3 linked regions of the Arabidopsis thaliana genome follow. The protein of the gene in region 1 interacts with the protein of each later gene in a pairwise test. Each region holds a gene or a part of one and is shown on either strand. Other genes may lie near its edges.

What was found.
Region 2: the proteins of UBQ1 (region 1) and CHIP interact in a two-hybrid assay, tested with the Arabidopsis thaliana proteins (one study listed by BioGRID).
Region 3: the proteins of UBQ1 (region 1) and IRT1 interact in binary tests that used the Arabidopsis thaliana proteins (3 or more experiments, as listed by UniProt).

What each region holds. Positions count from the first base shown.
Region 1 is NC_003074.8:19,503,745-19,507,443, forward strand, and holds UBQ1 (ubiquitin extension protein 1), read left to right. Parts: upstream 1-1,634; 5' UTR 1,635-1,923; coding exon 1,924-2,026; intron 2,027-2,113; coding exon 2,114-2,200; intron 2,201-2,285; coding exon 2,286-2,388; intron 2,389-2,585; exon of another isoform or gene 2,586-2,627; intron 2,628-2,767; coding exon 2,768-2,834; intron 2,835-2,910; coding exon 2,911-2,937; 3' UTR 2,938-3,188; downstream 3,189-3,699. Other genes in the region: AT3G52580 (Ribosomal protein S11 family protein), read left to right, coding at 51-96, 493-578, 675-804, 890-957; CWINV2 (cell wall invertase 2), read right to left, coding at 3,336-3,530, 3,615-3,699.
Region 2 is NC_003074.8:2,357,399-2,362,201, reverse strand, and holds CHIP (carboxyl terminus of HSC70-interacting protein), read left to right. Parts: upstream 1-1,652; 5' UTR 1,653-1,900; coding exon 1,901-2,005; intron 2,006-2,310; coding exon 2,311-2,378; intron 2,379-2,487; coding exon 2,488-2,551; intron 2,552-2,707; coding exon 2,708-2,779; intron 2,780-3,081; coding exon 3,082-3,215; intron 3,216-3,305; coding exon 3,306-3,459; intron 3,460-3,544; coding exon 3,545-3,655; intron 3,656-3,750; coding exon 3,751-3,879; 3' UTR 3,880-4,295; downstream 4,296-4,803. Other genes in the region: AT3G07380 (glycosyltransferase family protein (DUF23)), read left to right, coding at 188-360, 743-878. UniProt on the Arabidopsis thaliana protein: Has E3 ubiquitin-protein ligase activity and may target misfolded substrates towards proteasomal degradation. Regulates the activity of some serine/threonine-protein phosphatases by E3 ubiquitin-protein ligase activity.
Region 3 is NC_003075.7:10,705,658-10,709,515, forward strand, and holds IRT1 (iron-regulated transporter 1), read left to right. Parts: upstream 1-1,686; 5' UTR 1,687-1,829; coding exon 1,830-2,417; coding exon of another isoform or gene 2,418-2,465; exon of another isoform or gene 2,466-2,502; intron 2,503-2,512; coding exon 2,513-2,662; intron 2,663-2,760; coding exon 2,761-3,066; 3' UTR 3,067-3,358; downstream 3,359-3,858. UniProt on the Arabidopsis thaliana protein: High-affinity iron transporter that plays a key role in the uptake of iron from the rhizosphere across the plasma membrane in the root epidermal layer. Acts as the principal regulator of iron homeostasis in planta.

The sequences.
Region 1 (3,699 bases):
AAGTTAGATTTTTATGTACATTTCTGAACTTCTTATATCTGCAATTGCAGCACGTGACTGATTTGTCTGGACGGGAAACACTTGTTCGCATCACTGGTAATCATCTCTTTCAACTCTCACTCTCTAATCCTTTGGTGATGATCCCTTTGTTAACTTGTATGCGGTAGTCTCTGTTGAGTGTGAAATGAAGTTCTTGACTGCCTAAAGGTTCTGCTTAGTATCTGCTCTTTTAAGTTTTTTCGAGGAATCCGTTGATATCTTTATAGAAATTGCTTTGTTCTTGACGGCATCAATGTTCCTGCTTATAGAACTAAGTTAGTTACCATTGTTATTAGTATTATGGTCTTCTCTATAGGGTGTGAGCTGAAGTGTCTTTAGTCTTTGTTCGTTTAACTTTTGAGGAATTCCTTTTGTTTATCTGTTTGGAAATTGCATTGTTCTTAAATAACAATGGGTTGCTAAAATTGCTGTTTCGATTTCCTACTTCTGTAGGTGGAATGAAGGTGAAAGCCGACAGAGATGAGTCCTCACCTTATGCTGCTATGCTTGCGGCACAAGATGTTGCTCAGCGATGCAAGGTAAAGGCAAAGAAATTGCATTACCAAGCAGACAACTTGATAATCTTTTATGTTTCTATATTTAATCGATTTGGTGAATATATTTATGCAACACAGGAACTTGGAATCACTGCCATACATGTGAAACTCCGTGCCACTGGTGGTAACAAGACCAAGACCCCTGGACCTGGTGCTCAGTCTGCTCTAAGAGCCCTTGCCCGTTCTGGCATGAAAATTGGTCGCATTGGTAAAACAGCAGCAATCTTCAACTGTAATTGTTTAATTGCATCTTTGATTGAATAAATCTCTGACATTGTTCTTGTTTTCCTCAGAGGATGTGACTCCAATCCCAACCGACAGTACCCGCAGAAAGGGTGGAAGAAGAGGAAGGAGGCTCTGAGTTATTTGGCCTCTCGTTGGATCTCCTTATGTAGCTTTCTCAATGTTTCATTTTGTTTTTTCTTAGTTTGAAAAGAGTTTTGGAATTACTATGCTTTGTTATAGTCTCAACTCTGAACAGCTTTGGATCTTTTTCTGTATGACCATAAGATATTCAAAAATTGGTAGTCATTTTATCTCACAAAAAAACCTTGAATTTGTGCTGTATGATTTTGTAAAGTCTTAGGTGCCAAATCTTTGATTGGAGTTGATAAAATATTTTTATTTGGTTGTAATTTTGTAATATCCCGGGATATTTCACAAATTGAACATAGACTACAGAATTTTAGAAAACAAACTTTCTCTCTCTTATCTCACCTTTATCTTTTAGAGAGAAAAAGTTCGATTTCCGGTTGACCGGAATGTATCTTTGTTTTTTTTGTTTTGTAACATATTTCGTTTTCCGATTTAGATCGGATCTCCTTTTCCGTTTTGTCGGACCTTCTTCCGGTTTATCCGGATCTAATAATATCCATCTTAGACTTAGCTAAGTTTGGATCTGTTTTTTGGTTAGCTCTTGTCAATCGCCTCATCATCAGCAAGAAGGTGAAATTTTTGACAAATAAATCTTAGAATCATGTAGTGTCTTTGGACCTTGGGAATGATAGAAACGATTTGTTATAGCTACTCTATGTATCAGACCCTGACCAAGATCCAACAATCTCATAGGTTTTGTGCATATGAAACCTTCGACTAACGAGAAGTGGTCTTTTAATGAGAGAGATATCTAAAATGTTATCTTAAAAGCCCACTCAAATCTCAAGGCATAAGGTAGAAATGCAAATTTGGAAAGTGGGCTGGGCCTTTTGTGGTAAAGGCCTGTAACCTAGCCCAATATTAGCAAAACCCTAGACGCGTACATTGACATATATAAACCCGCCTCCTCCTTGTTTAGGGTTTCTACGTGAGAGAAGACGAAACACAAAAGATGCAGATCTTCGTGAAAACCTTGACCGGCAAGACCATCACTCTCGAGGTCGAGAGCAGCGACACCATCGACAATGTCAAGGCCAAGATCCAAGACAAAGAAGGTATCATTCTTCCTCACTCAATCTGGATTCTTCTCTTTAGCTTTTTGAAATTCAGATCTCTTATCATTTACTTGTTTCTCCTTTAAGGAATCCCTCCGGATCAGCAGAGATTGATCTTCGCCGGAAAGCAGCTCGAAGATGGCCGTACTTTGGCTGACTACAACATCCAGAAAGGTACGAAATCATCCGAATCCTTCTGTTGATCATTTCGATGATCTGATTGTATAAACTCTAATGGATTGTTATCATTTGTAAACAGAATCTACACTTCATCTTGTGTTGAGGCTTAGAGGAGGTATTATTGAGCCTTCCTTGATGATGCTTGCTCGTAAGTACAATCAGGATAAGATGATTTGCCGCAAGTAAGTTTCAATTTCTCCCTAAGATTGTAGTTTTGTTGATTAATAGTTCAAAGTACCAAATGTTTATTAGTGTGTTAGGGTTTTAGTTGTTTTAATGGGAATTAACTTAGCTTCTCAAGCCTTATACAATGCGTGTTGAGGTTATAAATGTTCCCAATATCAAACATTTCCATTCTCTAAACTTTGTCAGCTGGTCAAATTTCTCATCTTTCCAGATGATTTTCTTGAATGGTACATTTTTGCAAATGGTTTTGAAAATGTGTTGAAGCTTGTATTTTTGATTGCTGAAACATCTTGTTTGTTGGATAGTTTGTCATCTATGGTCCGATCTGATGTCTCAATGAGATTATTCTAATGTAAATTTCGCATCTTTTGGTAGGTGCTATGCTCGTCTTCACCCAAGAGCTGTCAACTGCAGGAAGAAGAAGTGTGGTCACAGCAACCAGGTTTGTTTTTGTTACTTGTTTCTTTTTGGTGTTTATCAGCTGAAATGATATCTGAACAAACTTTTTTTATTTGCAGTTGAGGCCTAAGAAGAAGATCAAGTAGAGAGACTCTTATCAAGAATCCCATCTCTTGCTTGCTTTTTTTTGTTGTCTTCCCTTTGATAGGGTTTGTTTTTCTTGTTTCAGTGACTTTCTATGTTAAAAGATAATGTCAGTAAAAGGATTTGGTTTTCTATTATTCTGAATCGATTACGGAAGATTCTTGCTTAATTCCAATCTATACAAGTATCGTGAAATAATGACCGTTTATGTGATTAGGAGACGTGTTTCATTAATAAAATATAAGATCAATACATTGTTAGTAGTGATAAACTATGTACAAATTGTATTGATTGTAAAAGAAACACAATAGGTTCCTTTTTTCTACAATATATTGTGACAGACTCTCTGTTTTAACGAATGAATTAAATTTGTCAACGAAAAAATTAAAGAATGATGTGATCACTTTGCACCTTGGTTCATCTTCAGAGGCTTCTGCATGTTCCATGCATTGAGGCTCTCTACGGTCACAGGTTGTGAGCCGTTGTTAAAGACAAACAAATGAGCTTTTTCTCCTACTGCTTTTGTCGGATACACTCTAGATGTTATCACTGTCTTTCCTTTTGCTCCAAAGCTCTCCACAACCGAGTGATCAATCTGCAAATTCACTCAATTATGTTACCTATTTGCTTCTCTATACAAGAGTAATATTCAGTAAAATGATTTAAGTTTGTGACGTACCAAACTCCTTAGAGAGATCTTTCCGTCAAGGAGACCGACATCCACAAAACCAGCAAACGATGGTTTGTACATCCTCTCCTTGGCG
Region 2 (4,803 bases), about 17 Mb from region 1:
TTTGCAACTTATCCTGCAAGATATTTTCGAATATTTTTGAAAATATTAGATCCAACAACCCTAGCCTCCTTCATCACTATAAATATCAAAGTCATTCTCATCACAAACCAAATTGAGATCAAGAACGATTCGATGGTTATTATCATAATCAATTCATGATAGTGAATGATTGTTTGCATAAGTATTCATGACGAAGTGGATGTTCTTCGTTGATGTTGATGAGTTTTTACATGTTCCGGTGAAAGAGACGATTTCGTCTGTGATGGAATCTTTGGAGGAATATTTTCAGTTTACTATTGAACTGATGCCTATGAGTAGTCAGGTTTGTTATTCCGGTGATGGCCCGGCCAGAACTTACAGGTAACATTCATAACTTTGTTGATTTTAATGATTGAACGTTAACCAAAGCCCATGTGTTGTTTATTGAGTGACTTAGAATATTAGTCACAAGTTTTTTGAAGGTGACATATAATATCAATAAGCATCTGATTCTGTCAACACTTGGCCTGTAAAAGTCTTTGTGCATTCTGTATTAGTCTCCTATGTCGGTCACGATCTTTGCTTTTATTGAACATCACATGATATTAGTGAGAAATGTTGTAAAGATTATTTCTTTTGTTTGTACCAAATATTGAATTGTAATTGGTTTGTATATTTTCTGTTTTTAGGAGGGAACATATCGGTTATTGATTTGGTTTAGTTCAGGGACTAATCTAAATGGTATTTTGGTTTTGTGTTTCAGAAAATGGGGAATTGAGAAACTGGCATATAGAGACGTCAAGAAGGTTCCAAGACGGGATCGGAAATACGCGGTCCAGCCGGAGAATGTATTCGCGATAGGCGTACACATGTCTCAGAATCTACAAGGGAAGACATAGCACAAGGCTGAGAGCAAAATCCGTTACTTCCATTACCATGGTTCGATCTCTCAGCGCCGCGAGCACGCACTCCTTATGTGCTAGACACTACAATCCGTGATGTTGGCCTTGCTGTGAGAACGTTCGAGTTGAGAACGATTGGTGATCGGCTGCTACGGACAAGACAATGAAGAGATGAAAAACATGAATAGTGAATCTAATCAATCTTTAGAAAGAAGAATTAGGTGTTAAGATGATTTACTTTGCATTGTTTTCTTTTGGGGGTATATTCTTTTATTGTATCATATAATTTGGGTAATGGGATCATTAATACAGCTTCAAAATACTCTTTAGTATAAATATTCTGTATGATTTAGAAAAAAGGTCTCCTCATAAATGTTATTATCTTTGTTTTGCCAAAAATAAAAGATAAAACATACCAACTTTGGTTTTTAAAGATCTTATAATCAACAAAATAATTACACCATCTATCATTATATTATATTTTTGTCACCATTTTACTTATATCAAATACACATTTAGTAATTGATACACAACTTTAAACACAATAAAATACATGATTCTAATCAGTAAATAGTCTCCATACTAATAAAAGATTCCAATCATTATTTATACCAGTTTTAAAAAAACTAAATATATGTTACTATTTTTTAATATAACACACACTAATTTATTTAATAAAAAATTTATAAAAGCCTTCGCGCGACGGGAAACCGCGGGTTTAATCCTAGTTGTATAAATAATTTACAATTAACCCAATGACCGGTTTATGGTAGTAAACAAAAAGAATGACTATAAGATCCGGATTATGATCCAAGTCTCATCGAGCTGACCCGGTAAAGAGACTAATCTCTTTCGATAACCGATTCATTTAAAATTCCCTTTTGCTTACTTTTCTCTCTCCTTTCATCGAGAAATTTCGCGGCTACTTCTCTTCTGAAACGCACCGGGACGCGCCGTCGCACAAGTTACAGAGGAGTGTTGGAAAGGATAAAGACTTGGTTTTCTGGGGTGCCGTAGATATGGTTACAGGCGTGGCTTCCGCCATGGCGGAGCGGTTAAAGGAAGACGGAAACAATTGCTTTAAGAAAGAACGTTTTGGTGCTGCCATTGATGCTTATACCGAGGTACATGGTTCTCACTCTCCTTCTCTCAATTTCATCGTTAGGGTTTTGTGTTTTCCGAGATTTTGATTGAGATCTGCGTAGAGTAATAAACCCTTGATTATAATTTCGAAATTGGACAATTCGTTTGTGAATCAGAACTTAATTGCATCCAAATTAGGTTTTGATGGAGTGTACAATTCGAGAATAGACATTTGATGGAATTTATGAATCTTTTATGTGCTCATCGTTATAAGTCATCAAGAAACTTCAGGCTTATTCAATTGTAGTGGTTTTTCTTATCATTTTTTTTTTGTGTAATTGAGTAGGCAATAGCTTTGTCTCCAAATGTTCCTGCTTATTGGACCAATCGAGCACTTTGCCACATGAAGCGAAAGTGAGTATTGTTCTGTCAAGCAAATTTTATACATACTTCTGATTAGGCAATCCTAATGCCCAAATACTTTATGGTTCATGTTTGGCTTCTTTGCTTGCATCAAATTTAGGGATTGGACTAAGGTTGAAGAGGATTGTCGCAAAGCTATTCAGCTTGTCCACAATTCCGTCAAGGTTTGACTCTTTTGATTATATCTAAATGGAATTCTTTTGCTTGGTGTGCTATGTATGGAATATGTCAAGTTTTTTGTTTTGTTTTATCTTTTCTTGGCCTTCTTTGATCCTTTCTTCTCCATCATATGAGGATTTTACAATTATGTTCTGTGGCAGGCACACTACATGCTAGGACTTGCATTATTGCAGAAGAAAGAATTTACTAATGGAGTCAAAGAATTGCAAAGGGTAAGGATCTTTGTTAGTCCTAAGCTTTTTTCTGTAAAATTTATCAGTGGACATGATTGTTTAAGTCGTAACGTTGAGACCTAAGTAGTGTAGTTTCCAAGCATCTTAATGAAGATGTGAGGCACCACTTGAATCTCCATCTTTTTCCTTTTGAAAGATGTCTAAGTGGATACTGTGGACACTTGTTTTAGTTAGAAAAATCACTAGAGATGGGTTGGTTTGTTTATGCCATCAAATACTGCAAACAAATTTTGGTTTGATACCTGTTTCCTGTTAACTTCATGTAGCTACGTTTCATATAGGCTTTAGATCTTGGAAGATGCTCGAATCCAACAGGATATATGGTAGAAGAAATATGGGAAGAGCTTTCTAAAGCAAAATACATGGAGTGGGAACTGGTTTCTGCAATGCGGTCATGGGAACTGAATAGTTTGAAGTAGGTTCTGTAACTTTCTTAATCCAGTGCTATCATTCGACTTGGAACTGTGCTTTTGTGGCTTTATGGAACTATTCATGTTTGTGTTAGGGAAACTTGTGAGGCTGCTCTTAATCAACAACGTGCTTTAGATATGTCTCGAACAGAAGAGTCCTCAGACGAAGCATATACTGCCCATACTGAGCGTTTGAAAGCTCTTGAACGAGTGTTTAAGAAAGCTGCAGAAGAAGATAAACCAACTGAGGTGCATTAAATTTTCTTTAAAAGCTTTTAAGACCCATCGTTCATTTATATTTGAGGTCAAATACATTTCTGGTTTTTCTTTTCAGGTGCCAGATTATTTATGTTGCAATATAACTCTTGAGATTTTCCGAGATCCTGTAATTTCTCCAAGTGGGGTTACATATGAAAGAGCAGCAATCCTTGAACATCTCAAGAAGGTTTGCATTATCATCGCTCTTTTCTTGTAGCCTTAATCTCTATAAAAAATATTCCTCATTCCTGTTAAGGTTTGATCGTTTACACCACTTGATAGGTGGGGAAGTTTGATCCTATAACTCGTGAAAAAATCGACCCGGCTAATCTCGTTCCAAATCTGGCTATCAAAGAGGCAGTGGCAGCATATCTAGAAAAACACGTCTGGGCTTACAAGATGGGTTGTTGATCGAAATGGGGATTAACATAAACACAATGAAGCGGATGAGAAATTGAGGTTAACTACTCAGGTGACCGAACAAAACAGATGGGTGCGTTTACCTTTTTTCACATTTGTGTTTGTTGTTGCCGATGTTTTCAGTGTAAGATTCTCTGCCCTGTGTATATATTACAATGTTTTTTTGTGCACTCTGTACACATTGGCCATATGGCTTAGCCTATATAACACACATACAGAATTTATTTACTATTGAGGAAAGCCCAATAACATACATACAGATATTGTTTATCATTGAGAAAAGCCCAATAACAGACAGATTTAGATGCAGTTCTCTGACGTCAACAAGATTGATGAATTGTATCTCATTAGGATGTAGTCCAAGGCATGCTTAAGTATTTTTTGAAACCTTCTTGGACCACTCCGGTTCTGTGCCATGAAAAAAATCTGGATTGTGTGATTAATCATCTAAAATAAAACTGAAAGCCTGAAAATTCAATATAAAAACAAAAAGTTGTCATGCAATAGTGTAGAAAAACAATGATTTAGTTGAATGTTCATCAAAGTTGAAAGAAAGCAAAAGACATGGGCCATCATAAGGTATTCAAAGTATTGAATGAATTCTGCCTAATAAGGCGTAAATCTTGGGGTCTTTTAAATAGAAATAAAACTACTATTTTCTTTATCTATATGATTTCCACTGGGGACACATAAAAGGTAAACCCACCATTGTGGTTGTGGATTATTACGATTCTTTTTCTTCCTTTATGGGATTTATTTCTTTTTTTGTATCCAATGAATTGTAAACGTTACTTCTTGGGGATAAAAAGTTAAAAAGAAAGCATCAAATTCTTTCTTTTCTTGGCTTTTCTGTGAAAGTTTGGTGAGGAATAACACCAAAGAGTGGTTTAGGACGAATCCATATTCTATCCTCTC
Region 3 (3,858 bases), on another chromosome or scaffold:
AAGTCTACAATTAAGCGAAATCACACATTGACACAAATTAAAAAATATTTCTTTTCTCGACCGAAAAAAGAAAATTATTTCACCAATATGGAAAATCTCCCCAAGTTCATTCTATTTTCTGTATCAAAGTTAACGAATAGACATATAAGCATTTTGTCACGTCGGTGGAGTATGAGTTTGGCACGTTTTGTTTCGTGCTCGTCCAACCATATGAAAACGTGGGAGGTAAACCACTCAACTAATAATATTATACCTTTAAAAAAACTATATTATAAATCCAGTTTGATGCTTATTTTATTAATCATTCTTCAAAGAAATAAAACTTAAATAGTGAAAATTATAACCGAAGTTGACTAGTTAGGAGGCATGCCATGGAATATTGGATACATACTCGGCATGGACAGTATTGAATATACAGGATAATGTAGATAACTATATTTTCTATAATTTATTTTGTGTCAACTATTTTTTCTATGATTCTGATGATTAATTGCATGACAATCAATCAAATTAATTATGCCTTCTTCTATATAACCATGCAAAACCAAAAAAAAAAAGATTATTTCGAAACGACATGAGAATCAAAAGAACTCATAAATCCTAATAGACATGAAATTATGTATACAGTTATAACATTGAAATATCTTAATACCTTACCTAAAAGATAACTAGATTAATAACCATAAAACCAATAATCATTAAGTCAATAACCCCATAATCTTATAAATGAAGTCAGTGACTATATGTTCATGTAAAAATGCGTAAGTTCATAGCTAGATGTCCCTTTTTTAGGAGCACATGGATTGACACATTAAACATTCATACCCGATTTCATGGAATTCTATTTGTCATTATCCTTTCCCAAAAACTTAGTTGTTTCTTAGTTATTAAACCTTGAAAAAAAATCAATTCAAAAATGAAAAATGACTTATATGTATGTCATTTTTGAAAACTAGACATCAAGCTATGAAAAGAGGAATCTATTTACCGAATAAAGGAGGAGGAATCTACATTCATATGTAGTGTTTTTGGTGACTGGATTGCAACCATACACTGAGCACAAGCTGTCACGTGTGATGTTGTGCTCGTAGCATAAACTATAAAGTATAAACCTAATTAAGCTTAAAGTTAAAAATAGTACAAGATTAAAAAGTAAACGTTTGTGAGAGTTGACTAACAGAACTATAGAAGACGCATGGGGTTGACTTCAAGCGGTCTGCAAACGGCATGAACAATGCATTCAAACGATAATATAAACCTTAATTCCAATATAGCCTTTTTCAAATTTAAAAACTCGAATGTTTACGAAACTATAACTTGATAAAACTGATTGAAATAAAATGTACTTACATTTTTTTAATAAAATATACTTAAATTTTTTAAATAAAATATACTTTAAAATATACTTAATTTTTTAAAATCATACTATGGATTTTAAACAAAATAAATTGTCACTGAGTCATATTTCTTTGGATAAAAGAACTTTACATAAGTGATTGGTACAATATAATAATATGCAAATTTAAGACATTTTATTAAGTTTATATTATCGTTTAAATGCATTTTCTATCAACTTAATAAAATCTAGCTAGGTACTTTCATAATTCTATCATTATTCCTTTTGAACGATTAATTACTTTATTTTCTCGTTTCACACTGGAAGCAAACGAGTAATCAAATAAAATTTCGTCATCATCGACAATAAATGGCATGAAAACAACCAGCACACATTACTATATAAACCGATTCATCTAGTAAGTCCAAAGTCACACAAACATTAAACAATCTAAACACACAACAATCCAAAAGAAAAAAGAAAAAAAAAAAAAATGGCTTCAAATTCAGCACTTCTCATGAAAACAATCTTCCTCGTACTCATTTTTGTCTCTTTTGCAATCTCTCCAGCAACTTCAACTGCGCCGGAAGAATGTGGAAGCGAGTCAGCGAACCCGTGCGTCAACAAAGCTAAAGCTTTGCCTCTCAAAGTCATAGCAATCTTCGTAATCCTCATTGCAAGCATGATTGGTGTTGGAGCTCCTCTCTTTAGCCGTAACGTTTCGTTCCTCCAACCAGACGGAAACATCTTCACTATCATTAAGTGTTTCGCCTCCGGGATCATCCTTGGAACCGGTTTTATGCACGTTTTACCTGATTCTTTCGAAATGTTGTCATCTATATGTCTTGAAGAGAACCCGTGGCATAAATTTCCTTTCTCCGGATTTCTCGCTATGTTATCGGGTCTAATCACTCTAGCCATTGACTCCATGGCCACGAGCCTATACACCAGCAAGAACGCAGTTGGTATCATGCCCCATGGTCATGGTCATGGTCACGGCCCCGCAAATGATGTTACCTTACCAATAAAAGAAGATGATTCGTCAAATGCACAGCTCTTGCGATACCGAGTCATTGCCATGGTTCGTACGCACATATATACATACCGAATATCATTGTATTTTAAATGACATATTACCGAATACATAGGTATATCTAACTTTCTACGGATATATAGGTCTTGGAACTTGGGATCATAGTTCACTCGGTGGTCATTGGATTATCTCTAGGAGCAACTAGTGACACTTGCACCATTAAAGGACTTATAGCAGCTCTTTGCTTCCATCAAATGTTCGAAGGCATGGGTCTTGGCGGTTGTATCCTCCAGGTAAATATACTTTAGATAAAAGAAAAAAAATTATCTTTAGCCAAATGTTGAAATTGTATATACAAATATGAAACATCTAATGTTTAAGATAATTTCAGGCTGAGTATACAAATATGAAGAAATTTGTTATGGCGTTCTTTTTCGCGGTAACAACACCATTCGGAATAGCGTTAGGGATCGCTCTATCAACTGTTTACCAAGATAATAGCCCAAAAGCTTTGATCACGGTTGGACTTCTAAATGCATGCTCCGCTGGATTGCTCATTTACATGGCACTCGTGGATCTTCTAGCTGCGGAGTTCATGGGACCTAAGCTTCAAGGTAGCATCAAAATGCAGTTCAAGTGTTTAATCGCGGCTCTTCTCGGGTGCGGTGGAATGTCGATTATCGCCAAATGGGCTTAACTAATACTCCAGATATTGCGGAATTGAAATCATGTGGATTTCATTATCGAACTAAAACCGTTTTAGGTTTACGTCTCGATTCTCTATCGGTTTTTTATCTTCTCTTACAAAAGATTTGCGTGGATCTATCACATTTTAAGGAACATGTCTTTTGGTAGATATGTAAATGTGATAGGCCCCACGATTCATAGTTTTCTTTTGTATCTTCCTTTATTTTGTCAAGGCAGTATAGTTCATATCGTGTAATGTTTTTGCATCTCATATAAATAAATAAAACTTTTGCTGCTTTTTCAAGATAAGTAAATTAAAGAAAAATATATATTATTTTACTTTGTAATCTATATTCGACAAATCTAAATACCAATAATTGGAACTTTAATCACAATCACGTAGTCTATAAATATACTTACTAGCTTGGCAATATTGTCAATCACTTGCATATCGTCCCATACTGCTTTAAATCTCAAATTTATTTTTGAGTATTACTAGGCATTGATATCCTTGTAGTTGATTTAAGTATATAATTTAAACAAGTTCTCTAACCGGGTTCTGTTGATAAAATCAATATGTCTACCAATTGAACCAATACCAATAAATTTTAGTCTTCGCTTGAAACTAAAGTCAAAGTTCGAACAAACAAAATCAGATACATAGTCGAAGTTTATAAACTTTATATGCAGATTCAGTCGATTTCCAAAAGCGCTGGTTTTACTTGGAAAATGTATATCTATCGACCCATTTATGAAGGCTCACTTGATTTGGGTACGGGCATTACTTTCAGCCCAATTATGT